2 linked regions of the Daphnia pulex genome follow. The protein of the gene in region 1 interacts with the protein of each later gene in a biochemical or structural test. Links are inferred from orthologs where the notes say so. Each region holds a gene or a part of one and is shown in the gene's direction. Other genes may lie near its edges.

Evidence for each region.
Region 2: the proteins of tight junction protein ZO-1-like (region 1) and irregular chiasm C-roughest protein-like form a complex in vitro, tested with the Homo sapiens proteins (3 studies listed by BioGRID and IntAct, with this or other methods). The link is inferred for Daphnia pulex from reciprocal best matches to the Homo sapiens genes TJP1 and KIRREL1.

Annotation. Positions count from the first base shown.
Region 1 is NC_060024.1:10,101,072-10,115,931, forward strand, and holds the end of tight junction protein ZO-1-like, read left to right. Parts: coding exon 1-15; intron 16-682; coding exon 683-870; intron 871-1,052; coding exon 1,053-1,818; intron 1,819-1,972; coding exon 1,973-2,123; intron 2,124-2,233; coding exon 2,234-2,385; intron 2,386-2,464; coding exon 2,465-2,586; intron 2,587-2,770; coding exon 2,771-2,949; intron 2,950-3,456; coding exon 3,457-3,628; intron 3,629-3,704; coding exon 3,705-3,948; intron 3,949-4,238; coding exon 4,239-4,283; intron 4,284-4,529; coding exon 4,530-4,704; intron 4,705-5,615; coding exon 5,616-5,954; intron 5,955-6,037; coding exon 6,038-6,652; intron 6,653-6,762; coding exon 6,763-6,989; intron 6,990-7,558; coding exon 7,559-7,950; intron 7,951-8,125; coding exon 8,126-8,435; intron 8,436-8,809; coding exon 8,810-9,126; intron 9,127-9,303; coding exon 9,304-9,581; 3' UTR 9,582-9,865; downstream 9,866-14,860. Other genes in the region: methionine synthase reductase-like, read right to left, coding at 10,096-10,311, 10,401-10,497, 10,590-10,801, 10,872-11,045, 11,113-11,349, 11,418-11,678, 11,748-11,885, 11,950-12,508 and 2 more. UniProt on the Homo sapiens protein: TJP1, TJP2, and TJP3 are closely related scaffolding proteins that link tight junction (TJ) transmembrane proteins such as claudins, junctional adhesion molecules, and occludin to the actin cytoskeleton.
Region 2 is NC_060022.1:5,900,315-5,915,999, reverse strand, and holds the start of irregular chiasm C-roughest protein-like, read left to right. Parts: upstream 1-8,017; 5' UTR 8,018-8,726; intron 8,727-15,685. UniProt on the Homo sapiens protein: Required for proper function of the glomerular filtration barrier. It is involved in the maintenance of a stable podocyte architecture with interdigitating foot processes connected by specialized cell-cell junctions, known as the slit diaphragm.

The DNA of each region.
Region 1 (14,860 bases):
AGAGGGAAAGCTACTGTAAGTACCTGTAGTCGGTTGTTGTTTCACTGCGCCATTTCCTAGCGACGACGATTATATAACAAACACAGCAGCAGCAGCAGCGGCAGCGGAGAGAAGGGAACAGTCGTAAACAAGTGTAAAATTGCGTCTAATTCTACACGACTTTCTCTTTTTCTTTTTTTTTTGCGCGAGCACCGCAAATGGCTGCTACTTATAACTATCAAATGGTAACGAGAGAGAGAACACACCGACGTGTACACAGAGACAAAAGAAATCGACAAGAGAATCGAGAATTAAGAAGAAGCCAAGAAACATAAGAACCAGTTCACGAAAATTTAATTGGGAGAGAGAGAGAGAGAAAAAATGGAATGAAACAAGTCATAGGAATTTGGGGGCGATTCGACTTGACGAAGAAGAAGAAGAAGGTTTTTTGCCTCCTTGATTTGCACTGCACGTAATGCCAGACACAAGTGGTGTGGTTTTCGAATCAAAGGGACATTTTACAGAGCAACGACTTTGCCAGCCAGTCGTGACTTGTTCGGAGATTAATCCTTTAATGCTCGTAAATCAATGCGATGAGGAGCCGTTTGATAATGAGAAAAAAAGACGAGGAAATGATGGCGACGATGTAATTGGATCGATAGTAAATTTCCCTTCTTTCTTTTTTTTTCTTTTTTGGATTCAGGATCAACGACCGCGTCATGAGCGTCAACGGCGTTTCGTTGGAGAACGTCGATTACGGGACGGCCGTTTCCGTCCTGCGCGATAGCGGCGCCGCCGTCAATTTGGTGGTCAAGCGTCGCATCGTCCTAGGCGCCTTCCCGGAGCCAACCACATACAAAGTCACCTTGACCAAGAGCAAGAAGAAAGATGGTACTATGACGTGTCTTGTCAAATCAAATTACGATGTAGATATGTAGATCACTCGTCTAAGACCATCGTTCAATGTCATATGACGATGATTTTCTCCATTGGAAACGATGGAATCACGGTCGCTATTGTTCTCCCGTTTCTTGATTTTTATGTTTTTTTTTTTCGACTCACGTCATAAATAGATTTCGGAGTCATTTTGGGCTCGAGGATCTACTTGAAGGAGTTGACCAACCGAGCGCTGATCGATCGCGATGGTAGTCATGGAAACAACAGTCCCGTCTTCCAAGAGGGAGATATCGTCCTCAAGATCAACTCGACTTCAACAGACGGACTCAGTCTCAAGGAGGCCAGAAAGCTCATGGAGAACTGTAAAGATAAGCTCCAGCTGACTGTGCGCCGCGATGCAGCCGCTCCGGCTCTCCTGGGAGCCGTCGGAGGCTCCATTGGTGGACCCGGCCCTGCTGGAGGATCTCAGGCGTCTAATGGTTACAACGATCCCACTTACGGGGCCGTGAAAGACGGCAGCGCTGTAGGGGGAATCGGAGGAGTAGCCGGCGGTGGTGGTGGTGCTGGCCCACATTTCGCCAACTACGCCGACAGACCCAATTATTGCAACCAGAATTTGTACGTGCAACCGCCGACGCGTGGCGGCAGCGTCGACTACCGCAATCCGCTGACGCCGCAGCCTCCGCTGCCGCACTCTGCCGGACCGGCTCCGCCGTACAACAGCAACGAGGACAAAAGCAATCTGTCTCGGCTGGCCGGGCGATCGCGTGGACCGCTGATGGACGTTTCCCTGTCGCAACTCGATCACCACAATAATCACATGAACGGGCACGCCGACGGCGAAGACGCCCCTCCTCGACCTCCACCGCCTCGCAGCGATGATTACTACAGTCCCCGACGGGCCAATGAGGCTCCCAACGAACCTGTCAAACCACCTCCGACGTAAGACACATACTTGTTGTTGTTGTTGCCCTTGCTACGCATTTTGATATTAACAAAAAAACAAAAAAATGAGAAGAAGATGATGATCCATCGTCTTGGATTTTGTTGCCGTGATTGCTCCGCTTTTTCACGCTCGGTCATGATTTGTTATTAGGTTGGATCCGCGGTTCATCAGCTTCCAGAAGGAAGGCTCGGTCGGCATTCGGGTTACAGGTGGCAATCAAGTGGGCATCTTCGTGACGGCCGTTCAGCCTGGCAGCCCGGCGGCATTGCAAGGCCTCGTCCCTGGAGACAAGATACTCAAAGTAATAAAATGGACCGGGGGAATTATTTCTTTCTCTCTCTCATTTTTTTTTCGAGTTTTAAAAAACATTTTTACATGTTATATTCATTCCTTTTGTTTTCTCCCCAAAAGGTCAACGATATGGAAATGAATGGCGTCACACGAGAAGAGGCCGTCCTATTCCTCCTCAGTCTGCAGGATCAAATCGAATTGGTCGTCCAACACAAGCGGGAAGAGTACGACCAGGTGGTGGCGTCCGGCCACGGAGACTCGTTTTACGTCAAGTAAGAAATTTCCATACAACACCCAAAAATGTCGTTCAAATGTTTCATTTTTTTTTCCTACTGAAAATCTTTTTGACAGGACTCATTTCAATTACGAGCAGCCAGCCAGTGGCCACATGGCGTTCCGCAAAGGCGAAGTCTTCCACGTCGTCGACACTCTTTACAAAGGAGTCGTGGGTGCTTGGCAGGCCTTCCGCGTGGGTGAGTTTCTAGAGGAAGGAAAAAAAAAAGTAGCAATACCGAGTAGCGGTTGGGGGCTGTGTTGTTTGGACCGTGACGTCTTCACGTATTCAACATCAGCCGTGATGGATCGCCGCGTGAATTCATTCTGACTTTTTCGTGTTTTATTTTTTAATTCTTCAACCACCACCACCCCCCAAAATAGGTCCGAACGGTCAAGACTTGCAGCAGGGGGTTGTGCCCAACAGCGCGGGAGCCGAGGAATTAGCCACGGCTCAATTCAACGCCGCCAAAAAGGAAGCGGCCACGACGACATCCGAGTCACGCGGTTCCTTCTTCCGGCGAAGGCGACCCACTCACCGCCGTTCAAAGTCTCTAGGAAGGGTGAGAATGCACTTGTATTTTTCGACTGAAATTCACACCTTGCTCTTTTCTAGAGCTCTTTTACGGGCTCTTATCCCGAGAAATACTTTTAAAAATGAACCAAAAAATAAAAAGAACAAATTTAATAAGAAATGCTTGGTGCGGTCACGACTCCCGACACGCCTCTTTACAACACACCACTGCGGGTTTCCACAAGAAAGAAAAAATTTCTTTTCTTTTTGGCGCTCGTCCTCAAAGCGACACACGTAACCGGTTCCCTTTTCTTCTTCTTCTTTGCGGGGACTAATGTTTCTCTCTCTTTTCACGTTGAAAAGAGGAAACGAAAAAATCGTGAGCCTTTTGTCAATTGAAGGAACGTGCGATACGGCACATCCATCATCTTTCTCCTATTCCCCCCTTTTCTGATGCTAATGATGCTTATAAATAGTTGATGCTTTCAACACTGGTGATGATATGTCTGTGTGGCTTATGTTTTTCTTTTTCTTGTCCTTTTCTTTCACGTTTCAGGATCACTGGGATGACGTCGTCTTTGCAGAGACACTCAGCAAATTCCCGGCTTACGAGCGTGTCGTTCTTCGGCATCCAGGGTTCATCCGACCCGTCGTCTTTTTCGGTCCCATTGCCGATGTCGCCAGGGACAAACTCATCAAGGATTTCCCTGACAAATTCTCTGCACCTCGTAAGTTCTACCTTTTTTTTTCAAAAAAATGTCAAGTAAATCTTTGCATTTTCATAATTTTGAAATTTTTTTTTAGAAATGGACGGAAATCGGGACTCGGCCGAAGGGTCCGGAACGGGCGCTCCTGTGGCGACTGGACGTTCTGGCATCGTCCGCTTGAGCGCTATTCGTGAACTGGTGGAGAAAGGTCGACACGCTTTACTGGACATCACCCCCGGCGCCGTGGACAAGCTCAACTATGCTCAGTTTTATCCGGTTGTCATCTTTTTGCGGGCCGATTCGAAACACACAGTCAAGGAGCTCCGCGCCGGAATACCAAAGTAAATAAATAATTCAGCACTAGTGCCATGCCGTGCCATCCGCACACAATGCACATTTCTGCATACTGCAGTGCATAGATATGCATCACATTATACATATATCTAGCAGCCAGTAGTATCTTACCTATCGATATACTATTTCTACATGCCTAGAGCGTGCATGCCTTTTTTGTAGTTTTTTTCATTTTTCCAGTCATGTTGTTGGTTTTTTTCTCTTTTTCTTGCATTATGGAAATTATTATTTTTTGTCTGGTTGCAATGATCCATTGTGTTGTTGTTTGAAATGTCAGCACTCTGGCTGGCCTGGCTCCCCGGCTCGAAGAATTCTTCAAGTGGTAAGTCGCCCATTGCTGGCCAAGTCAACACATTCCAGCCAACTGCTGTGCTACTCATCCAAAAAACCAACCAAAAGCCAACTTGTCTGCGTCTCTCTCGGTGTTTCCCGTGTGTTGTGGGGGGTCTCGGACGCTTTTTACAATTCCCGCGCTATTTTTTTAAAAAACTAACTCTAGCCGATGGAAACGTTGCAGAAAATTACTAACGCCTTTGATGTTTTTATTGATTTATTTCCATTCTACTAGGACGGCCCACAAGAGCAGCAAGAAATTATACGAGCAATGCGTCAAATTGGAGAAACTCTGGTCGCACGTCTTTACGACGACAGTTCCGCTAACGCAGCGTGACACCTGGTACCGAAAGCTTCGTGAGGCCATCGACCGTGAACAGAATCAAGCCATCTGGGTCTCGGAAGCCAAGGTGATTATTGTTATTGTTATTATTAGCCATAGAGCAGCAGCAGCAGCTTCAATTTCGGAGTTTAGTTTTTTTTTTCGACCGTTTTTATGGGATATCATTTCGGGAAAATCTCCAGCGGCACCCGAGCGTGCAAGTAACACCCCGTCGTCTTTTCTTTTTTCATTTTTTTCTTTTTAAAATGAAATTCTTAAAAAAATCACGACGGGGGCCGTCTTGTGCCGCTTCTTATTCATTCCAGTCCTAATAACGAGCTATTTGATACCAAATTTTTGGGGTGTGTCTGTGTGGGTGTCCGGGTCCATTCTTTGCGCCAGTTGGTCGATTTGCCCACGGATGCGTTGCTGAGTCATTTAAATCACAACAACAATATCGGCGGCATGGGCTGCAGCGATCCGCCGTCGTTTTATCCGCCGCCCGTCCCGCCCTCCATCTCGCCGTTCGACCCAACAGCGTCCTACTATCAAGTGGTTGTTGATGACGTCAATTTCAACAGCAACAACAACAATTACGCGCCCCTTAAAGTGATGGCTCGACGGCCGTTGTCCGTCATCCATGAAGAGTCGCTATTCAATCATTTCTTGTAACAACAACCAAATCTTTATTTCCGTCGTCCCCGTCTGCCCGCAACCCCCCACCCGTTAAAAAATTTCAAAAAACTTAAGAGATATTGAATTGTTCGTCGCTTCGGTCCGTTGTGCATCGTCTTCGTCAGGCCGTCAGGGTTCCCAGTCAACCAGGAAATTTGTGTGCTTATATTTTTTAAATTCCGTGTTTCTTTTTTTCTAACCAAAGAAATTCTGTCTTTTGTGTTTGTGTGTGTCGTTGATGTCGTTTTCCCCCCATCCGCTTTTGTGGCCGCTTTCCGCGCTTATTTCAACAACAATCTGTCGTCGTTCATCGGCCGGATCCAGCTGGATGAATACCTCTCGGATGATTTCCTCTTCCCGATGACGTCGCGCCTTTCTTACGCATCTTCGCCAGAGTCGGATCTCGATTTGTCGCCCGAGCCGCGTGCTTCCGGCGGCGCTAGCGGTGCTGAAGGTTCTTCTTCCAAAACCAACGGGGTCAACGGCGGAGCAGGTGGCAAATCTCCGCCGTCGCCCAGTTCCGGTGGCCGATTGGTCAAGAGCTCCAGTGACCCCAGCATCGCCACTCAGGATGATCTGGGTGTCTCCGGAATGAGCAGTCCCGGTGCACTTTTGAAGTCGTTGAGTCCAAGCAAATTCCAGTCTCCCATCAATTCTCATTCTGTAAGTACAATCAATCCTCTTTCCAATCGATGGATCGATTCCATCGGATCTTGGTTGTAAATGTGAATTGGTTGATCACACAGGTGGTGGATTCGTCAACGCCGACCAAACGCCGATCTCAAGGCGGCGATTCCAAGTACGGATTTTCATCGCCGGGCAATGGCCATCATCCATCGCAGAGGGACCCCAACACTCCGCGAAACTACGGCGGCCAACCGCCCAATTACTCTTATAACAGCCCGTCGTCGCGCGGGAGCCAACAGGCCAGCACCAATCTCGACTACATCAACGGACCCCATCAGTCGAGGTCGTCTGGTGGTTACCCGACGTCCCAGCAGCAGCAACAGCAGCAGCAACAACATCATTTCTCGCCTTATTCCAAATACGGTGGCGGCGGAAGCAACGGTGGCAGTAGTCACGGTCCATCATCATCGGGCGTCGTTGAGTTGCCACCGAAAATCGATCGGAGTAGCAAACCGTCAAACCGACAACTGGCACGCTCCGCCCAGGAGCGGCTGTTTGGCTCTCGAGAGGGCGACATCAATGGTCTGGATATCGATACGTATCCCACGTCGCCGCCAGGACCGGCTCCAGGCCAGCCGGGCCAGGGCTCTTCCAACGGAGGACCTCATCAATCTCACGACTACCTGGGCTCCCTGCGAGGCAGTTCCCTGGATAGAGAGAGAGCTGCCAAAGCGGTAAGACATATCGATGGCTTCGAAGCAAGACAAAAGAAGAAATAGCCAATAACCCGTCGATCCATCTCCTTTTCTCTCTTTTCTATTTTTGGTCCGTCCTATGGTTTCAGGGGAGTTACGACAGCTCGTCATCGTACGAGTCTTACAACCGACTTGGGCTGACATTAACTCTGGCCGGGAATAACCATCAAAGCGGCGGAGATGTTAATGCCATGCCAGGCTCGCCCACTTCTGCAGGCCTCAAATCTCACGATCCTTACCGCTACACTCGCTCAACCAGTCAACCCGTGCGTTCGCCGACCGAGCTCACGTCACCGGCGACGAAACAACTTCATCGGTAAGTGGCTGAGATTATTCAACCGTCAGAAATATAAAAGATGAGGAGCAAAATATTAGCGCTAGGAATAACATTTTTTCGGGAGTCGAAGAGATATAAGGATAGAAATATATAGGCCTGTCTAATCCGCACCGCACAAAGTCCCGCAAAGAAAGAAACACACACAAAAATCCATTCATTTGAAACATTAGATTGCCAATGAGACCTCGTTCGGTTAAACGGTACCGGCGGCGACAAAGTCCAAACCTGAGTCTCGTGTGATCGTGTTGTTGTTGTTGTTATTCTTTTGTTCGGGATTCTTTTTGTTTTGTTTTGTGTGTGTTTTTTTTTTTACACGTCGTTAATCAGTAGATGAGAATAGAATGGCCGTCGTTCGTGTGGCGCGTCCTTGTAAATCCCATTAGAACTTTATCGCGTGTTTGGTTTCTTCCCTTTTACTTTATTTAAATTTCGTTCGTTTCTTTCGGTTATTTTTATGATTTCTTTTGAGTTGTTGATTGTTTGTTTTGTTTTCTTTCTTTTATTTTTATTTACCGTGTGTGTGTGTTATTATTATTATATTCTCTTAGTCCCTTCGACCACAAAAAGCAATCACCTCCACCCAAGTCCGCACCTTACAAGCCCGTCCCTCCGCCCAAGCCGAAAAACTACCGACCGCCGGCGAACGCCTCGTCTTCGACAGCCTCCAACAACCAACAACCGATGACACCCAACAGTAACTACTGGAATCACAGTCCACCGGGCACTTTGAATCATCCAAACAGGCCAGCAGGTGGTGGTGGTGGTGGTGGCGGCGGCGGCGGAAGCAGCGGAGGAGATGTTCCTCCTTCCTCTGGCGGAGCCAACAACCATCACGGCTATTATTCACACGGCCCTCCGTCGTCCAATACAGCGTCGGCCATTCACAACGGTATCAATTCCTACCGTTACGAAGATGATACCAACGGCGGCTTTGATTCAGGTATTGAATTATTCAAACTCTCATCGCAATGAAACCTCTTGCAGCTCATCCATCCATCCGTCAAGTTTCCTTCTTTTTTCTTAACTATCCCCCCTATTTCGCTGCGGCTGACAAGTGAAACGATGACCCGTGACTTTATACGAAACGATTTTCTTCTTTTTTCTTTTACAAGCAGGTCATGGAAGCAGTTTGGATCGTCACAGTTACGGAGCCAATTCGCTCTACGGCAAAGCCCCGCCTCCACCGCCGCCCGTCAACGGATCCAACCGCAACAACGAAGCCGGACAGTACTACTACAACATCCCACCGCCCAGGGAGAACAACCAGAAGCACCAGCAACAACATCAATCGAGAGATGGTGGGCGGCTAGATCTTGCCCAACACCGGGATCAACGCGGATCGGCCTTTGAACTGTACAAGAAACCCGCCGATCCTCGATCTCCCGCTCACGGGCACCAGCCACTCTACATGGAGCACAACGCCAGGTAAAACAACACTCGGCCTTATATCCTCGCCACAGCACCCGCATCTTTTGTTTCTTCTTTTTTTTATGGACAATGTGCAACGCACTTTGCGGTCGACATTGTTCGTAGACAACAACAACAAAAAACATTTCTCTTTGGCGTGGTTATTTTTGGTTGTTTTTCATTTGGTGTGGGCTCGGTTTCTATTTCTTTCCTTTCCTTAATTGATTCGGATTGAACGAGTCTCTCGGATAACAAGCACTCGCGCTCTTGGCTCAGACAAAATTAAGCTCATGTAACACTCTAATAAGCTCTGCTGAATGTTGGGTCTGCCAACAACTTTTGGAATCTTCTTTCTCTGCTACCATGTCTCTGTGCTATACATATCTATATAGGCTCGACTACGAGTACTATGACGGTGATGGATTCTCCTCTTCGCCTTACGACTACTACCACCACTATCATCATGACGATTACTACTCCCCTCCCACATCCCCTCCTCCACCCAACTGCTCGGTGATTGCCACCGTACGCGGATGGCTCACGCACGACCATGGAGGGCGGCTGGAGAGTGTCGAAACCGGAGTGGCACTGCTCGTACCGCCTAGAGCTCTCCCTCCGGGCCCGGCAGCTCACCTCGTCTACTTCAAGGTCTGTCGCCAAGACCAGCGTCAGCTTGACACCAACGGCGTTCCTTTAGACGACGGAAAAGGTATACAATCACTCTCGGTCCACTGACACACGGCAAACAATGAGTCACTTTCACCTTGTGCTTCCGTTTCTACCCGCATTAACCACATTCACAATTGTTTATTTGCGATTTCAGTTGTTGCAACAGTCGTGATTCATTATCTAACCATTGCATTTGATTTGATTTGAATCAAAACAGGTGAAGCTTTACTTAGTCCACTAGTTCAGTGCGGACCGAAAGGTCTGCGCTTCCTCCAGCCCGTCGAGCTCCGCATTCCGCACGATGGCGGATCTCGAGCGAATTCGTCTGGCAGGTGGAACGTTTCTCTGAAAGCTTCCAACGAATTGGGACAGTGGCGACAAATTGAACTACCCCAGCGAGGCAACGACGATCACGAACAACGAGCTCAATCGGAGCAATTGGACGACGCCAAAAATTCTCGAAACCACCTCTCCGTTTTCGTCGATCATTTCTGAAAACCAAAAGTTAAAAACAACAACGCCACACGCTCTCTTTTCTCTCCTTTTCGTCGCACCACCTTTCTCTCTCGCTCTCTTTCATTTCTCACTTAATCTTTCTATTACAAAACTAAATAAAAATAATAATAATAATGGATTCTCTATGTCGACAACCAGTTTTAAATTTTAATTAGGCTTCAACGTCTTTCTTCTCACTGTATGTAACTGTACAGTTCCAATTTTTAGTTATTTTGTGTGTTTTGTGAGTGTGTCCAAGAAAAATATACGTGTCCTTCGTCTGACATTAGTAGACGTAACATTTTCTATGATATCGCAATCGTCTGGCCGTAACGAGAGAAGAAAGTATTTGGTTCATCGAAAGCTGCCGTAGTCATTTTATCGTCAAGAAGGGGAACGCAACTTGACTGACGAGTCATTGGGTGGTTGGAAAACAAGCGAGAGAAAGGAAAAGAGCTACTTAAGATGTCAACTAGTCAAATAGAGAAAAAAAAATTGGCTTCAAATGAACTTTTCAAGTCCAGATATCTTGCAAATATCGCTTTTCTATTTGGAGTTGAATGACTGCCTTTTTGGCTTCTTCCTCCTCCATTTGGCGCGCAGTCTGGAATGCAGAGATTAAAGCCTGCATAACATCTTTGGCCATGTTTTTGGCATCACCACAAACGTAAATGCAAGCCCCCTTTTCAATCAACTTCACCAGCGGAGTCGTGTACTGTCGAATCAAATCCTATAATGCGCAAGTAATCTTTTAATACCAAGCAACACGCAAACGATGACTAAACAGCTTATTATTAACTGGTAATGCTATATATATACCTGGACATATTTCGGTTGGGGAGGATTAGCTTCCCTGGAGAAAGTCACGAGCAATCTCGTGAGGATCCCTATCGAATGCCACCTCTCCAGCTCATTCCTAAACGCGTGACACAAGAGAGAAACATTTTTGAAGAATGAAAAACAAAAATCGAGCGTTGACTACGCACGGAGGGGGACAACAAAACGTACTTGAAGAGGTAATCTTGATCTCTGGTCCTGCAACCATAGAAGAGCCAAACAGGTCCGCACGGGAGGTTTGGGTTCGATTTCAAGAGCTCTTCTCTGTGAGCTAAGAACCCTAAGAAAGGCGCCACTCCTGTGCCAGGTCCAATGAGAATCAAAGGGGTTTCAGAGCTCTTGGGCAAGCAGAATCCGTTGCTGGATCTCAAGAATATGGAGAGCTGAACATGAAAAAAATAAATACAAAGAAGTGGTGACGAAGACAAAGTGAATCGAGATAACCCCACTTACGGAATATTCCCGACAACTAGAGTTTGAAGCGCCACTTTCAGCTGAATCAGTGTTCTTCATTTTATCAAACATCCGATACAATTCACCAGTTGCTACGCCCTTCCTTTCGTAGGTACGGCCGTCTTGAATGGGGAATTCGACAACATTGAACACAAAACTAGCAGATTTGGAATCCTAGAGTGGAACAAGAAACAATCAAGATTAATAAAGACTCGAAATTCTTTTAAATCAAATCCCTCACTTGTAATGGCGACGAGCTGAGCGAATAAGGTCGGGCTAACAGACGAGGCAACTGTTCCAGTAGACGTTCGATTGGCGGATTGCACGATGGGAAGGTATTGAGAAAATCTAAAACATTGAGTTCGGGCTGACGGACAAGACGAGTATAATCGTCAGACCCTTGAAGACTGCATAGTTCCATAAGACGACGTTTTTCAAGCTCATTTGATGAGTATTCGGCAAGAATTCGGACAAGAGACTAAATGAAAAGCCAAAAGATCATTTGCAAACATTCAAGTGGTAAAATAGAAATGAATTATCGCATACTTTACGCGGTACACTTCGTATCTCACAACAGCGAGTCAATACAAATCGTAGGGTAGCTAAGGTCGGTAAATGAGACGGGACTTCGTACTTGGGTTTGGCACCGGATTTGAGCGCAGCAAATTCTTCCTTGATTCTCAATTTGAATGGTGTATCGGCTTGCTCGATCATGTTTAATCGACGAAGAAGCGAATCCACTTCTTCAGCGCTGTTTGCGCAACAAACTCCAATAGAATCCCCTGGCTGGTATTCAATTTCAGCTGGCTAGATGAATCGTACGAGTTAGTTGGCATATTTCATCGTAAATGAAAAGGAGAAGCAAGGATACTTTACACAGAATTCTAACGTAGCTTGCAAAGTTGTTTTCAAAGCTTTTTCCCCAGTAAGTTTTTTAAGACTTTTAATTCTAGCTTGAAACACAGCGCTTCTGGAAGAAGGCATTGGCTTTCGCAAGACATCTTCAGGGAAAAACTAAGGAGAAAAAAAATTTATATTACTTCATAACTTTTCTAAAAATAAGAAATATTAAACTCACCATCAGTTCAGCATTGAATTTCAGTTCCAAATAAGACACTGGAAGTAATGGAACTTTTAAATCACATTCACTAAGTGGGGATACAGACACTTTCAAACTAGCTAATGCAACAACACATTTTTCCAACTCTTCTTCTACTTCTTTCTGGACGGGCATTGCCAATGGTTGATCATCAACCTTTGAAATAATTTTAACTTCTGGAATATTGGTATTGGGAGACTCTGTTTGAACTTTGACAACTGAAACTAGATCAGGTAATGTATGTGGATGAGCCAATTGGTTTTCCAGAGCAGGCCATAAGTTTTCAATCCAAGGATCAACCACAATCTCCAGTCCTACTGCATCATCTGCCCAAGCAGACTTGTAAAACTGCTTGGCTCCAAGCTTTTGAAGCTGTTTCTCAACGCTTTTAGGATAGCCCAAGAAAGTTGTGTAGTTTGTATCACCCAATCCGAGTAAAGCATATTCTAAATGTTTCAAATAGTCTTCGTTCAAGTCTTTCGAACGAATCTTTCTCCAAAATATGCATGCATTTTCAGGAGGATCTCCATCACCAGTCCTAAGAGGAGTTCTGTTATGTAACACATGAAAAGACATTCAATTAATGTAAACAAAGGGTCTTACGATGATGTAATAAAGATGACAAATCTAAAATCCTTCCATGGCATCTGAAATAGACAACCATAATATGTTGAATTATTATTGTCAACTAACAATTTGAAAACAGCTATGACAACAAACCTTTTCCACTGATTCGTCCATGGACAACATTTCAACATCGTAATTCTGGCTTTCAGCCTTCGCTTTAATGTCTTCTGCAATCGACTTTGCTTGCCCAGTTTGTGATCCATAGATCAACAACAAATTACACCTTTGTAGAGTCATTTTACATGAACATTGGTTCGAAAATTTCTAATGTAACTTATCACACTCCTATGACACGTGTAGTCGTGTAACACAAATTTTGTCGTCTGCTAAGTTTCCAGTTGTCAATTCAGTCGTGCTGCGCATTTTCGTAAAACGAATTAATTGAAATCGATATAATTTTATACAAAACGAAATCTGCATTCATTTGGGTGATTTCTCAAGGATGTAACGGAAAATCTGTTTTCCCCTGAACCGTGTAATGTCGTGGGAAGAGACAACAAGTTGATCGCTCACGTGAGAAGTCGTTAAAGGAATAAGGTAATGTGCAATCGCTCTTACTACTGCGTGTCCATATTATTTTAACTATCGTCTGAATCTAAGAAATGATTTGTATACCTTATAAGCAAAAACCTGAATTTAATCCAGTCGTTAAATTCGGGTTAATTCAAAAGATTAAAATTCCTAATTACATTTGACCTTAATAGTTGCAATAAGAGGCTGTACACGCATTTCCTGTACCAAAAGAAAATGAACGGCCGCTTTTCTTAGTACCGGCAAGTACAACCAATTACGGTTTGGTTTATAGAGGCGTGTTGATGCTGGAGAAATAGCTTGCTCAAATGAGAGAACGCTATTCCCGGTATTGTGCCGCTATATTACCAGACGCGGTGAAAAGCAAATTCCGAGAGCATCGCCCATTCATGTTGCGTGATAAAGAATGGCTGGAAGAATGGTCCCTCTTTTTCAATGTTTCTCTTTTTCTTTCTACTATTTTTACGAGTTCCCTGACTTTTGGCTAACCTTGAATTTATGACTGTTGTTTGTAAGTCGGGGTCTTCTCTAGTTATTACCGAGATAGTATGCGCGATATGTTTTTTTTTTCTTTAACTTCTACCACCGAAGCGAATGCAGAAGCACAATAAAGCTTGCCGACATATACGGTTCTTTGGCTGCGAAAGTCTTTTTGAAATCTCACTGGAAATTTCCTCGAAATCCCTCCCATTCGAATTTTGCTCATATAGAAATAAAGGGAGTGAGAAAGAACACGATTTATGCTAAAATCTCTTTTTGGCCAGCAGAGGTTGGAAAACGTTTAAGGATCTCATTGGTTATTTACGATGCGTCGGATGATTGCTTGATTTTTCTTTACAGAATACCACCATATTACGTATCAATATCATCAATAACGTATGAATGCCAGATCCGCCTGTAAAGCTTTCGCATAAAACTCGACACAACGGCACGAAGTGTGTGTTAGTATGATTATGTTCTTCGCGTGACTAGTTTGTATAAAAAAGGAAAGTCTGTATCAATAAAGTAAGAATGTAATAATACCCAGGTAAAGCTCATCTTAAGAAACACACGAAACATTAAATATCTAAAGAAGAACCGTTCTCTTCCCACCGCGCTTGGCCCAAAAATGATTCACCATCCCGTCAAACTCGGTTATTTATACATGCACGTAGAAGCAATTTGAATGGATTGTAAGGTAGATAAGTCACGAAGGACCACATTGGAAGGCTGGTATAAATTTACAAAAACCTACTTTGTCCGCTTGGATGGAATTGTAAAAGCCACGCGATCTCTTTTCTGTATGCGGGAAGAATTATTAGACTTCCGAGCGTTTAAAAATAAATTCAACTGCAAAATGGAATTTGAAATATTTCTTTCGTTCGCCGCGATCTTCCAGTTATAAATGAGACCGCCATGGGACGTCATATTAATCACACTCGCCCCTGATTTACATGCGCCTTTAGTTCTTAGTTATGGCAGAGTTAGTCTGACAACTAGGAAGAAAAATGTAAAATTCCGCTTAGAGAAGCTGAGCTACTCGGTTAGGATTGCTTATCGGAATTTCACCTGGTGCGCCAAGTTTGACAAATTATGATGTAGGTCGCATGGAAAATATTTTATGAATTTGCTGAATATACACTAAACTAGCATTTAAAAAAAAATCAATACTTGACTCTATCTGTTTTGTTTGTTTTTTTTCGAATTTCACCCACAAACATTTCCGCACGTGACTACAAATTTAGACCATGGC
Region 2 (15,685 bases), on another chromosome or scaffold:
TCTGTCGTGTCTTTTTCTTTTTTCTACAAGCCACCGCTGCAGTCGCTACAGTCGCCGCCGGATATTCGTTACTAATTAAACAGCTTGATTACGTTCGTACTCTGCGTACGATGCCTTTTTGTTTTTTCTCTTTTCTTTTCTTATACATTCACCGGACAGGGGGCTTCGTCCGAGGATTAAGTGGATAGCCATTTCATCCTGGTTTGATGTATGGCCACAAATATACACGATCGTCGCACACACATACACATGTCTTCTCTCCCATATGTTGACAGGGCGCGGGATGCAAACGTAAAAAGATACCCCGCTCCCCCCAACCCCCCGTCTTTTTTTTTCTGGGATGTGTTATGAAACCGAATTAGCATTCGAATGAAGAAAAAAAAATTAAGGGATAAAAATGCTAACCGCATCTATATATTTAATACGTGCACACTTGTGTCGTCTGTGCTGGACGCCCTCCCCCCCCCCACCTTTTTTTCCCGTTCACGAGTTCAAATTACTTGATACATTCTACCCTATCTGCGAGGTGGAGGAGGACTGAGCAGGAGCTATGAGGAACAACAGTAGTTGTTGTACTTGCCTATAGGTAGTTGTACAAGAATGAAAAGAAAACTAAAAAGGGGTTGACGATGAAAGAAAGAAAGAAGCCCGACAAAAGTTGGCAGCGCAGTATATGTATATACCCTTTTTTTCTTTCTTGTCCTTCTTCTTTGCTTATTATTATTCGATGCCGGCCCATGGGCTCCTTCCTTCCATCAGGAATCTCTCTCCGGCCAATATACAGTTTCAAACTCGCGCGCCTCGGACGTGGCGGACAGACATCAATGATACGCAGCCCGAGCCTTCTGTCTCCGTATTCCATTCCGCATGAAAGGAGCAGCTACGCTTTACAGACACACTCAAACACATACCAGAGAAAACTGAATTTCAATTTTTTTTTGGGGGAGAAACAAAATTATTTATACGAGACGCCAATTAAAGAAGTAGATTTTAAGTTTTATGCTCAAATTCTTTTATTAAAGAAGCTTGAAGCTGTTATCAGTCATGAAGAAGGTTTTCTTTTTTCTAGAAGGAAAGTCAAGTTTGGGGAATCGAAAATAGCCAAAGCCTTTTTGCGTTAAGTATCTAGATAGTCGTTGATGGTGGCCGATGGATGGATGGATGGCAGTGGCGTTTTATACGCGCCGTAAGTCGGTAGTAGACTAGTAGTAGTCTTCTTTTTTTTTAGTATAGTAGCTGCGACTGCTCTGAGAAAAGTCCAGGGTCTTAGTGGTGACCGGGTTCATCGGGCGGCACATTACACAGAGAATAGTCGCCTCTCTTCGAAATGATACGACACAGCGCCTAGGCATGGCCGGCCATCATTTGGTGTCCCTTGGGCCGCTGGCCCATAACCACAAACCACCAGCGTCGTGACAGGCAACACGAAACCCGAATCCGTCTTATGCAGATCTCCCTTCCCAACAAACCAACAGCTCCCACACCGCTGTCTATACTCTGGTTCTTTTTTTATTTTATTATTTTCCACCTGAAACATTGGTGGTAGGTGTACGACTGTGCACAAGACAAGAGAGAGGAGAGAAAAAGAGATACACAGACGTAACCCCCGAGTGGTTCTTTCTTCTCTCTTATCCAGGTAAGCACGAAATAAAAACCAAGAGCTCCAGCAACAACCCCGAAGAAAAACTAACAGGCCTGTGGGAAGAAGCTGCTGCCTTTTTTTATACACGTAATACTTCTTCTCCTTCCATATATATACTGCGTATCGTCTGTCTTTTGCTTACCTCTCTAATATGGTGGACGCAAACATCAGACGATGACGACAGATAAGAAGAAAAAAAGCGCCATCGACTCTTTCGGTTGCCCCCCGTTCGCTTAGAACTTTTGCCCACCACAGTTTCTTCTGTGTTGTTGTGTGCTGGGAAGAAGGGGCTGGATGCTGCCAGTGCTGTAGTGTACAAGACATCTTTTTGCCTTTTGACTCGTCTTCTTTGAACAACAAGAGAGTTCCAAAGAGAATATAAAAGAAACGAGGAAGCAGTTGACATATCGCTCCGGCTCTTAGTACTCCTTTAAAAAGCCATTAGAGATTTATCGCCCGACGTTCCCTTGATTCTTTTTTTCCTTTTCCTTTCTCCACTGGAATAGTTGTTGCCTTTGGTTGTCTCTCTCTCTCTCTCTCTCTTGCTTCTTTTCTTCCTTTTGTCAAGGCGCGCCGTTGCGAAATCAAGAAGAATGGGACGCCCAGGAATATATGGGTGGGACGGCGCGGGCACGGGTTGTTACCCGATGAGAGCGACGATTTGTGGTTTGGTGGACGACGCGCTGGTGAACGATATCTCCGGCGTCCATCTCTTATTCGCTCCTCTCCTGATTTCCAGCGCTGAGATGCTGCTGCTGTTGCTGTTGTTGTTGTTGTCTCTCCCACGGCTACCATCGTTCGTCATCGGGTTCAAATCGCCAAGCGTTATTTATTCACGATCGAAACGCGTAGGCGAAAAAAGAAAACGAAACAAAAAGTTGGGCTGATGGACGATGCCATATCCTGCATTCTGCATTATCCTTCTAAAACATCTCGGCGCCCGTTTTTTCGAAACTTACATCAAAGATACACAACGAATTTACTGCCGTTGGTAACGTTCCAAAACTCTCCAAATGGAGCGATTGAAATTTTCAAAATCCAGCTGAAAATAGAAACGTCGCCCTGGACAGATAAGTACGCAGCGATTGTCCGTCCAGGCTTCTTTTTTTTTTTACCTTTGGGGGAAATTGTCCACCGGAGAAGCCTGAATGATTAAATTCCGCTGGTGGGCGGAAGTAAGGAGACAAATGCGGAATCAAAGAATGCGGGTCGATATCCATCGTGTGCTGTGTACATTGTATTTATATATACTCAAACGGTGCTCGTTATATTGTACTGTGGGTATAGAGAGATGGATATCTAATCGCAGCCGAAAAACTTTAGCCCTTTTCCCTTGATGGGCGCCTCATCTCTTTGGCATCGGTTTTGGCTGGTCAGCCGGAGCGACTGCTGGTGTAGTAGTAGTACTAGGTCTTTTGTTAGAGCGATGCGCGCAGCGATGAGATCTTTGACTTGTGATATGTCAAATTGTGCGTGCATTTGGGCGCTGATGAGACTTAAGAGCCTTTGGACTCTCGGAATCTTGGACATGGATCTTGTTTGGAGGGTGGTTCCAGAGGGGGGGGGCTTTTTTTATTTTTCCTCCTACGACTAAAGAACCCCCCCAAAATATCCCCCGCGTTCTTTAGAGATTTTTAAAGATGCTAGTCTCTCCTGTATTTGGTAAGATGGTCGACAAAGAATTTGGGGGTGAAGGCTTATAGCCTATTAAGCAGCCCAACTTCCACGTTAGTGTGTATGTGTAGTAGTGCACACAGCTGACGAATAACGCGCGGAAACTTGTAGGAGGAGGCGTGCGGAGTGTACGCGTTTCCGTGTGCCGAGTTGTAAGTAAATACCAGAAGAAAAAGAAGATAAGAAATAAAGTTTGAATTGAAAATAAATTCACTCGTTTTAATTTCTGCCCGCCGTGCCCGGGATCCAGCAGCCGAGGACTGGCGGGGTTGTTCTCTCTCTCTCTCTCGCTCTTCGCTCGTCTTCACGCCGTTTCAATTCCAATCACGACCAGCCGACCATGAAGAAACGAATCGAGTGATTTCTTCAAAAAGAAAACTGAACTGAAACGAAAAAGGAGGAAAAGAGAAAAAGAGAAAAAGAAAAAAATAAGAAAACGCAGAAGGGCCGGGAAATTAAGGAAACGTTGGCGTTTGAACGGGACCCAATTACCTCACAACTCATTTTCGACTGTTGAACCCGGGATTTTTTTCTTTTTTTTTTTTCAAGTAAGGAAAGGAGAAAGAAAGAAAGTAAAATAATAAAAAAAAAGATGAAGAAAAATAGATATAAAAGGCAATTTTTCCAAGCATTCGGCCGTTCGGGTCCTTGGCGAAGGCCAGAAGAAGAGGAGAGATGACTAAATATGGAGGCCAATCAGAAGCGATTTCGATCAGTTTCACTGTGCGCATTTCGAGGCAAGAGAACGAAAAAAAAAATAATTCGAATCAAATAATCAAAAATACACTCACAAATTTTCGGTAGAGATATAGAAAGATGATGATGAAGTCATTTGACTATTTTCGTTCACTTATTCACGCCCCTCGGCTTATAGAAACTGAAAGCTCAATCGTCTTGTCGTTTCTTTTTTCTTTCCTTTCTTTCTTTTAAGGACCTGTTGTCTTGTGGCCCATTACAAGCTATTAAGCGTCTGCATGTAATATTCATGCAAGCTCGTCATTTTGGGTTGCCTTCGCCATCCCTGCAAGTTTGGCGGCCTTGTCGGCGGCAATTTCAACACTTGCGCAGAGAAGCGAAACGGAACGAACCAAAAAAAAAGTTCTACCCTCCAAAAAAAAGTTCGTTACGTTTCGGATTGTTTTTCCAGAGCTTGCTGTGCTGGCCAGCGCAGCATTATATCCAGTTGTGTGTTACTCGTTTCCTCTACTTTTCCTTTCACGGATCGCAATGGATGATTCAGAGGACCGACGCCTATGTTACAAGCCTGGGTACCAGAAAGAAAAAAAAAAGTTTCCTTTTTTTTGTTTGTTTTATTTTTTTTTCTTATTCTTCTCTGGGGGATTCGGTTGAATAATAATCACGCGGAGGCCAATGTTTTCCCCTTATCCCGACTTTGCTAAGTAGACGAGTCGACTGGTAATGCGGCTGTGCTGCTGGTCGTGCTGTGTACTGGGGTTGCAGTGTGGGCTCGAGCGACTGGCAAGAGTTTTTGGGAAAATAGTTGGCTGCCAGCTCGTTAAGACCGACGACTACACTCATTAGCAATATATTTGCTAAGCAAAGAGAACAGAGAGAGAGAGAGAACAGGGGGGCCAACTCGGAGAAAAGGGGAAAATAAAAAGAATCGAGAGAAAAGAAGAAGAAGAAGAAGTACATATATTATTATCTAGCTTCTCGTTTTGTGCATGTATATAGTATATACACCTTTCAAAGTTTCCAAAGAAAAATAGGAAAAAAAAAGCTGGGGCAGCTCAGCAACCGCTCCGAATCGTTTCTCTCACTGCTGTTTCGGTTTTCTCTCTCCAGACTCTTTGGCATTTTCACAAGTTCCACGAAACTCCTCTGCGTACCTCATATATAGACACTGGCTGGCTGGTGGCTGGTTGCTGGCTGGGCAGATACAACGGAGTCCAGCCATATAGATACTGCGAAAATCTTTTGTTGGGGCTGTTGTTACTTGAAAGTTGATGCTGCTGCGCCCAGCTCTCCAGCAACATCAACCGCCAGAGTTTGTTGTATTTATACACTCAGACACACAGAGAGAGAGAATCCCCAAACTCTTGGGTTCGCTTCTTAATGTCTGTATATCGCAATACCAAATATCCGGAAAAGCTTTTGTAATAGGAAAACGTTATTGTTCCGTGCGTTACAGTTGTTACACGGGCGTCTGCATAGAAGGCGCTCGGCGTGTGTGTGTTAATTCCGCTGTTCGTGAGAACAAACCGAGGAAGCAGCAACCAGAAACTTTGGTGGTGAAAGTACTAGCAGTTGCCATCGGTGAATATGAATATACATACTACTTATACTATGTATAAACACTTGTTTTGAGTTCGATTATAACGACTTTTGGCGTGTGCTGTTGTAAATACAAAAGCGCTGTGCTTTGCACAGATGATTCTGTAATGGAGATGCTTTTACACGGGATCTAGAAGGCTTGTAACAGCATTCAATCTGACGGATCCATCAGTTTCTCTATACTTTTCTCTCTGCTTACCCTCTGTGTGTGTGTGTGTGTGCGGAGCTGGGCGGCAGCATGTGGCGTCCGTCTTTATTGTTATTCCTCATCTCTCTCTCTGTGTAACAGCGCTAGAAATTCACGGCGAAGCTTTTACAGATGATGTGTGGCGTCTTTACCGGTGAAGAGTTACCTCTCTCTCTTTCCCGAGGCATTTGCCCATCTCTTCTTCACTTTGTTGTTGTTGTTGTTGTTGTTGAGTCCGATGTGTTTGTTACTCCCGCAACTGTACGAAAACCAGAGAGAGAGAGAGAGAAACGAGACGGGAAGATGATGTGCCGCCGCCAAAAAGTTTTCGACTCGCGTTTGGACTTCACGCTGAGGTGCAGTGGAGAGCAGCGGTCCTGTACGTTGCGTCGTTGGCTCTGGTGTTGATGCGTTTCTTCTTCTTCTTCTTTTTCTCCCTTTCGCGTGTGTGTGTGTGTGTTGAATTGTCTGGCGGGCCGAATCTGATCGGTTGATTATGCAAAGCCTTTGGAGGAAGAGCGAAAGACGAATCAGAAAAAAAAAATAAAAATAAAATAAGAAGAAGAAGAAGAATCACCTAAGGGTAGAGAAGAAGGAGAAACGAAACCGCAGAGCTGCCACGAAATAAACAGCCACAGCCCACAGGACACGAAAAATTTCGGGAAACAGAAAACCCCGATGACAAAAAGAAGGGGGGACGGTGAAAAACGTCGGGGCTGTCTGCTCTGTGCCTGTCTGCCTACACATATTATAACATTTTCTATCGTACATAATAGTTTGGAAAAAAGAGACTATACACACACACACAAACCAAACCCGATATCGCATGCATGTATTTTATCCGATCAGATATCCAATACATCAACTCCCCAATTTTTCGTCGGTTGAGCCTTTTATTTATTTTTATTTTTCTCTCTTTTTTCTCTTTGCCCTCAATTTATTGAGGTCGACCGATGGAGGGAGGAAATTGTGTTTGTTCAAAACGTTGGCGTTCGGTTGACTCTCGGCGGGTCGGGTCCCGTTTTTTTCTTTTTTTCTATTTTTATTTTCTCCTTTTATTTTGAAATCGTTTGTGTGTCCCGGCTCTCATTTTTTGTCCTTAACGTGTCCAGCACCGGGGGTCTAATCTCTCCTTTTTCCCCTTTGTTTGTTAATGATTTATAATGAAATATTTTTATGGCCACTCGATGGATATTTTTTTTTCACCCGAAAAAAAAATAAGAACGGCGACGACCAGTTCGTTTAATCGTGGCGCGTTTACGATTCAAAAAAATAAACTTTCTCGCTGACCCGAAGACTTTGTGTATAGAGAAACCGAAAGAAAAAATTTCATTTTCATATAATATTTTAAAAAAAGAAGAAGATTTTTCTGCTTCAGACTTTGGTTTCGTAAAGTCTCTCACCGTAGATAACGAGTTGTTTTCTTCTAAAACGTTCGAATTTTTATGCTACCACATGGCGATTTGAATATACTCTGTGGATACGTGTGCGTCGATGAATTCCCTCCCATTATTTCTCTCTCTCTCGTCGCTTTGCTACGTAATATGCAAATGCCGCAAAAAAAAAAAGTTTAAAAAGACATTCTTTTGAAAAAGGAGAAAAAGAAAAAAAAAGTGTTGGGGGCTTTGATTTGAATATTTTAGTCGTTTTCAAATTGTTGAAAAAGAATAAACAAATTTTTCTATCTCTATTTCAGTGTGCGTTCCTTCAAGGTCGTCTTTCTGCCTTCTTCTTCTTCTTCTTTCTCCTTTGATCCGCACCACGCCTCCCGGAGTTTCCCGGAGTGTAGGTATACATATACCCTTTCTATGCAATCACGTGCAGTATTACACTTTCTTACCTAACCCATAGGCTTGCGCAAAAAAAAAAAATGTTACTTTCCAGACTAAAAAGATTTTCATCCATCGTACAATTTTCTTGGTGCACATGTTCATATTGCAGAGCTCAAGGATCTGCTGTGCTGGAATGCGAGAGAGAGTCTAGCGCAGTTTTCTTCTTTTTTAGTTGTTATCCGTGGTTGTTACGTATGCCAAGGGGGGCATACGGGTTAGCACGGTGGGTGGAGAGAGATATAGACCGCATTGAAAAGGTAGAGAGAGATACACACCACCACCACCATTGCTGCAAGAGAAAAAGAAAAAAAACGTGGTAGGTAGGTGGGAGGTGGTACGGAGGGGTTGGGCTATGAACACACACACACACACACTGCATGGTGTGTGTGTGTGTGTGAGGGGGGTTGAGGGGCGACCGTAGGGACCAGCGTGCTCAGAAGCGAGCCGGCTGTCAGGCGTTGCGGTGCTTATTTCTTGCTGCTCCGTGAATCTCTGTTTTGTTTCCAATCTGCTACTGCTGCTGCTGCATCACCCCCACTCGTTTTGATTTCATTTTGAAAATCAGCGGAATCTACACGCAGTTTTTGGCGTCATCCAATCAGGCTTAACTTTAACGTCGTCTGCTGTGGTTCAGTTTGGGCGTTTGGGATTGATTGAGCTGCACACGACCACGTTTTTGGATTTTGGCAAGCCCCTTCGTGCAGTGTTGTTTTCATTGGTTTTTTTCTCACTTGAACGCGGGATACTTTTTGCACCAGTGTTGAGTGATCGTGTTTGTCTCTATCGGATAAAACTTTCGTGTCAACGGCTAATAAATCAGAAAAAAATACGAGGGTTTAAACTTACATCGAGTAAGCAGTGCTTGGTTGTCGAAAAAAACAACAAAGAGACAAGGATCTTTTTTTGATTTCCCTCCAATTGTTGGCCCTGACTTTTCTGCACGCGTTTTCCTGTTTGAAATTACAACCAGAAAAACACCCAACAACAAGACACTCGAGTGCAATCAGGATCTGTTTGTTTCGCCCATTTTCAACCACATGGAACTACTTGGCTATGAATGAGGAGCCGTCGTCGACACAGTGAACAACAACAACAAGTGAGTTTCTTTTGACATTTCTTCTGACTTTTTTAAGACTGCAACTCCAGGATGCTCGTATCTATTTTTTAGTAGTCTAAGGCCATTAACTATTGGGCAGTTGCCCACACACACATATACCCTTTTGAATGTTGTACAATCCCTGAATCTCTTGGAGAAACAAAACTTGACATATCGGATGTCGGATGTGACGGGAAGGTGGGCAAAGGTCGTCAAGGTAATGGCTAACAAGTGGATAACTGGCAGAAAAGAAAGAGCGTGTGTGTGTGTGTGTCTGTAATGTAGAAGCTCTTTGGCTTTTTGTCTTGATATTGAGTCGCATCATCCGAGTGCTGGTGGGTAGTGGAAATCTACCGGGTTTAGAACCAAGTGGACCGTTGCCCAGTCACTTTGACCCGCTGCAGCGTTCGACGAGCCCAACCCAAATGTACTTACTTATAACGAGCTTTTCGTAAAGTGGCTTGCCTTTTTCTGTTTGTTTTTTTTTTTTGCCCGTTATTGTGTGGGGCTGACGCCAAAGAGACCAAACAACCCACTCGCCGTGACTCTTGATAGGATAGTGTCAAGTGACAGTCGGACTAGCGTAGGAAAGTGGGGGGGAAGTCGCAAAGGTATCGAAAACAAATGTCACAATTTTATTGGATTTTTATCCTTTTTTTGCTTTTTCCCCCAACGCCAAAAAAAGGGGTTGACGTAATCGAGTCTATAGTTTTATATTAAGCCAACCAGATGATGGAAGTCAAAGAAGAAAGAAGATCCAACATATTATTTTTATAACTCTTCTGGTCGCCTTTCCCCTCTCCTAGGGTCTAATTGCGAGCGACTACCGAAGTCGCCCAAGTTTCATTCTATCTCTCTGTTCTATCTATATAGTCTACATATACATGCACATAGCCACCATCAAAAGAGAAGGGGGCCAGGGGGAGAAAAAGAAGGACAAATATTTTTTTAAATAAATAAAAAAAATAAAAATTTAATGTTAAGAGAGCAGCCAGGAGAACTTGAGCTTTGCAACCCTACAAGAGCCTTATACGAAGTCCCGTCACCTTTCTCTCTCTTTTTCCAAGGGGTCGAACCATTCCCCCAAAACATCGGCGTCGTTGGACGTCGTCATCCCCCCTCCCTCCATCCACCTTGTCTGCGTCCAAAGCCAATTTAAAGGCCGTCCGTGTGTGTTTGCCTACGTGTAGTTAGAGCTCGGTTACTTTGGTCTTTTTCTTATTACACCGTGAGCGCACGAGTCTCACTGTCTCTCACTATGAAGAAACAAAAGAGAAACGGGGGAGGAAAAACAACAACAACAAGCTTCAAACGCGAGGGCAAAAGGGGGACAGCACGAATATCGAACAACAACAACAACAAAAAAGCTCGAACGGGACAATGTTAGTCGACTTTAGCCGAGCTTGATCCAACACTAGGCCTTTTCTTTCGTGTGTGTGTGTCTTGTGTTTTCGGGATTGGGATTCGTTCAGTTTTTGTTTGTTTCATATTTTCCGCCCGTCTGTGGGCTGCCGAGGCGTCGGGAGATAAGAGCTGGATGAAAGGTGTCCACACGAGAATGAAAAAAAAGAAAAAGAATTTAGATTTCTTTTGCTATCGGGACGGATGACGTGTTTTGGCCAATCTCTTTCTCTCTCTCTCCTTTTTTTTCTTCTGGAAAAATAGTCACGCAGGAACGCAGCAAGGGCTACAACAAAGGAAGACAAGACGAGGAATAGGGCGTGATGGTGTAGTAATCGATATATCGACCACGAAATGGTGAGGTTTAGGGACGAGCAGAGCCGTTTTCTTCGGTGCCAGTTGACAGACAGACAGACACACACAGATAAGACGTATAGGTGAGGTGACACAGAGAGCTGTGCAGCTGCATCAAGGATGAAGGAAAAGCGGTCGTCAAGGATGACATGTTGACTAGCAATCTAGAAAAGCCGTTGAATCTACCCAGAGTTGTTGCCGAGATTTCAACCGTGCATGCTGGATTGTGTCTGGTTGGTCCAGCTCAGCTCAGCGTGACTGGAGTCACTTGCTTTTCTTGTTTAAATTAAATTTTTATTTGTTTTTTTTTTTGGCGAAGGTGACAACTTTTTCTTCCCCACTCCACCGCGCGTATTTGATTCGCTATTAATGAACTCGTCCACGATGCTCCCGGTCGTGTGCTCGTTTTTCTCTTGCAAACCGATCGATCCGCCCGTCCATTGAATCGGCTCCGAGTGATTGAATCCTTCAGCCATCCGTAAACCGCAGCGATATCTGACTATAGGCGTTGTAGGTTTCTTTTTGGCGCCAAATGAATCCATAAACGTCCGCTTGGCTTTTGTTTCGTTTCATGTGTTATATGTAACTCCTTTTTTTTCTTTCTTTTTGAAATTTTTTCTTTTGCCTCCCTCCTTCTCTCTTGGTAACGATCGTGTTTTGCACGAGACTGCACGCACGATGCCCTCCCCATCGAAAACCGGGCGATTATTTACGCGAGCGTGATATGTAAATCACTGGGGCTGGCCCATCAATCAATACGCGTGGCGGCGGATATACGAACGAAAAAAGATCCCTCGGGCTAAGCAACGCAAACGTTAGTGTAATCTAACGAGCAGCAGCATTTCTTCTTTCATTCGTCGTCCTTTACCCATCCAGTCCTCTCCTTCTCTACTCTACCGAATCGGAGCGTGGAATTATTATGATTATTATTGCGGGACCCCTTTTGGTGTAAAGACGTTTTCCCGCACACTGGGAGGTGCCGCTCGCTCGGCCCGCATTCATTTACTCTTTGATGCAGCAAGTAGTCTTCTCTCGCCAACTTTTTCTTTCCTTTTTTTTGGGGAAGAATTCTGTTTAAATGAAATTTCCTGGGGCTTTGATTCGCTCGAGTCACCCATCTCTCTCCCAAGCGGGATTAGTACATTATTCCGGGAAAAATCCAGCTTCTATAGGAACGTTCTTTAGCGGGTCGAACAACGTCCCACAAACTGTGCAGCACAGACAGACACAGAATCCCCTTGGTTTTGTTTCTTATTTGATTTTGTCTTTTTTGCGCAAATTATTGGCGACGTGTGCCAAACACGAAATGCATCGCGCGTCGTTTTATCCTTCACGATGGGAGGTCCCCGAAGAGAGGATGGCAGACAACAACAAGTTTTCTCTTCTTTATTTCGAAATTGTCGGACCGCTGATGAATAAATAATCGGATGAATAAAAAGAAAACGGTTATGAGCCAATGACGAGGGGCGTCGAGAAAACTATTCGACTTTTTGTTTTTTGGTTACATTGTGTCTTTGGTTGGAGTTTGTTGATCTCGAGTCAACTTTTTGGCATCGCGTTTTGTCTCTTTTAGTTTTTTTCATTTCTTTTAAATCTTTAATATGAAAATGAAAAAATCAAATGTTTATGTTTTGGTTTCAATTCAGAGAGAAACTCGCACAACTAGTCGCAAAATATGAGGTCGAGCGTTCGATATATAAAAAAAAAAAAGACTTTGGAAACGAAATCATAAAAAGAATAAACCGTTGCGATGTTGTTGTTGTTGTTGTTGAATTGTTGATGATGGGATGACCCACCTTTGGAGGATCTCAGTGGATCACAGCAGCGCCGTTCTCAGCAGCCTCCTCGCCGGCTCTCGTCTTGGCTCGTTGGAATCGTTGGGTTCTGCGCTTGTTAATAACGAAACATGGAGGAGAGAGAGCGAGCGAGCATCAGAAACGCTTGATATTTTTTAATTACATCGTGGACCTTTCGTGACCCGCTCCACATCCCCGTCCTCTTGGTACCGTCGTAAACGTTTGGATGTCCTACAGCTGTTGAAACGATCGACGCCATAGAAAAGAAACTGTCGAGAAATTTTTCTTTTTTAGAAAAAAGGAGAAAAAAAAGTTTTGTTGACCGACAGAAGCAAAACATTTTGATGGTGCCAGGAAGAATTTCCTTCTAGCTTTTGTGTTTTTCTGTTATTTTTAGACTGTCTCGAGAGAGAGAGAAAAGGGCAGTAGCAGCAGCAGTCGGGACGGACTAGTAAAAGAAGAGCAAGAGTCCGAGCGAGCTTGTCGGAATTCGAGAGATGAATAAACCTCGACGACTAAACTATTGAGAGACGGCATATGAAAGTAGTAGACTTGTTCTTTTTTTTTCCCTTCCAGTTATGGCTTTCAGAATTGTTTGGCGTAGTCGGTAGTAGCAAGCGCAGCAAGTTATAGAAGGGTCCTCTCTTGTTTCGACCTTTTTTCAAATCACCTGGCCGTGAGCGAGAAACGTCAAGGTGAACCCACACATGCCTACTCGTCTCGGCCATTCTTCTATATATATTCTGCCCGGTCAAATTTGTCCGTTCAACGACAGAAAAAAACAAACAAACAAGAACACACGTCCCGAGACTCGAAAGAAAAGATCCTGGCCGTGCTCTTATATTCCTAGTGGGAGTACCGAAAAGAAAAGAAAAAAAAACAAAAACAAATGGCTCCGGTACGGTTTTCTTATATTTTCTCGAGAGAGAGAGAGCCGCGTCATCATCATCATCATAACAGTCATCACGGGGGCCCATTGGTCTTTCGTACCTCCGTTGTGTCTGGGCTGAAGGAGAAACAAGCGACGCCGCCGCCGCTGCTGCTGCTGCTGCTGCGCTCTACTCTGGCTCTGTTTTACCATTCGTGGAGATAATGAGCGTAATCAAAACTTGTTGTAGTGAGAGCAACTCTCTTCTCTTCTCTCCTTGTGTGTTTGTACGGAGAGCTTCTTTTTCTTACCTTTTTACCTTTATTTGAAGGAAAAAGAATCTCGACTGCGCTCGAAATGTGTAAGTAGCAAAGCGCACACGGAGGTTTCAACAATTACCCGATGCGCATTCTAATCATCTCTGTTGTTGCAAGTCGTTCTCTCTCTGTATACGTCGACTTTCCCCCGGCGTCATCTTGAGAGACCAGAACCATCCGAAGACGAGTTGGGATGATGATTGAATCGTCTAACATCCAATTTCTCTCACACATTCTAAATTGTTCAACTTCTTTGTCTCTCGCAGTCTCAGCTGAGTGATATGAGTGGAGGGGGTTGGTCCGCCATTTTGATCGTGTTATGCACACTTGTACACACACATCGTTTTGCCTCTTTTTTTTCTTTTCTTCTCTCTGGCTTTTCTTGTTTTCTTGTTGTTTTCTTGTGTTATTTGTTGACGTGAGAGAGGGGGGGGGGGAAGGACGAGCGTGATGACCTCATTTTCGTACATTACATTTAGGAAAATGGCGCCGGGGCCCGTTACGTGTGTGTGATGGGTTTATGATTCACGCACGGGTCACGTCCATCAGCGTTTGAGTTGAGCCGAAGCGCTCAGATTATATTTGGTCGCCCTGATGGACTTGTGTGTGTGTAGACCTGAGGAGGGGAGGGCGTTTTGATGATCGACCGATATGCCTCAACAACGAGCAGCAGTGATAGCAAGCAGCTCGTACTTACGTACAGCTCACGAAAGGGCTTTTGACGGCACTGCTTTTGGCTTGTCGTCAATGGTTCGGCGGTACTTAATTCTCGGCTGCGCCTTGCACGAATTGACGTATTTATTTATCTCTCCCGATCCGGTCGCAGTTGCACGAAATGATTGAGAGAGAACCAAAGACTATGGGGCGCGCGATTCTCATTAAAAATGAGACCAGGCGTGCTTGCACTCCCTGCGCCAATAAGTTTTCTATTGGGTGGTAGACGGTGTGGAGGGGGGTGTCTATAAACGCACATATAAAGTCACACACACGACGGAAAAGCTTCTCCCACCCACCCCCTTTTGCCTCCTCTTAAGACTCCCGGCGCTAGTAATATGTTCAGTCTAGCGTGATTCTCCGTGCGGACCGTGAACTCTTCACCCCCTCTTGGCGAAGATGCGGAAAGAAAATGAAACGAAATAAGAGAAAGAATTTTTTTATTATTTATTTATTTATTTTCGTTCGCTCGCCCTCTTGAGCCCCCCAAAAATCATTGTAATAGTTTTTTCTCTTTTCCCTTTTTTTATTTTTCTGTGAGACACATTCGATATTACCTTGCGAGCTTTCTAGTGCGACACGGACGACACGTTGCCATCCACTCGTCCGTTGTTGTCGTCTGGTCCCGAGACGCGAGAAGAAATGAAAAGGGCACAAGAAGCAAAATACAATATCCGCTCGGCTCGTTCTCTACTATCTATCTCTTCAGTTCTCTCTCTTTTTCTCTAGTGTACAGCTTTTTTTTCTCTTTATCTCTTATATATCTCTTATATATCCTCGTGTCATGGCCGACACATGACACAATTGTACACCGGCTCACTACTATTGGCGTCGGATTTTTTCTTTCTTTCCCGGCATCCAGCAGTAGTAGCCTCTTCTCTTGATTCTAGACTCATTTGCGCCCCATCTGGTCGCAACTTGTTTTCCTGAAGGAGGAAGGAGACACTTGGCTTCCTGGTAAACCCCCTCCGTCGTTTGAGTTGTCCTTTTTTTTTTGTGTGTCGTTTGTTTATTTTTCCTTCGTCAATCACTCCCGGGGACATGATAAAAATATAAAAAAGAAAGTTGTATTTATTTATTTTGATGGAGAAATATTATTACATATTCGCTCTGTGTGTTCTGTTTGTCGCTCGGGTTTGTGGACGGGATCAGCTCATATAGATTTGGAGATTTTTATATCCATTTTTGTTGTTGACGGACTGACGGTTGGACCTCCCAACTGGTTACGACCTTTTTTCTTCTTCTTTCCCCCTAAAAAAATCTCTCGACGGCCATCATCGCAACATTTAAAAAGACGTCTCCTCTCTCCTCCGTCTGGTTCAAACTCCCTACATAACGGAGCTGCTAGAGTCTCGGGCCGTCGTAGAACTATTTCCCTCTTCCATTTTTCCGCTGCCGAGCGTGTTGTGTCGGTTGCGTTCCCTTTTGATTGCTGCCAGCGCAGTGCCGTAGGTCTTTCTTTTTCATCATCTTGACGGTAACCACCTTCCTCCTTGTTTTGTTTTTTTT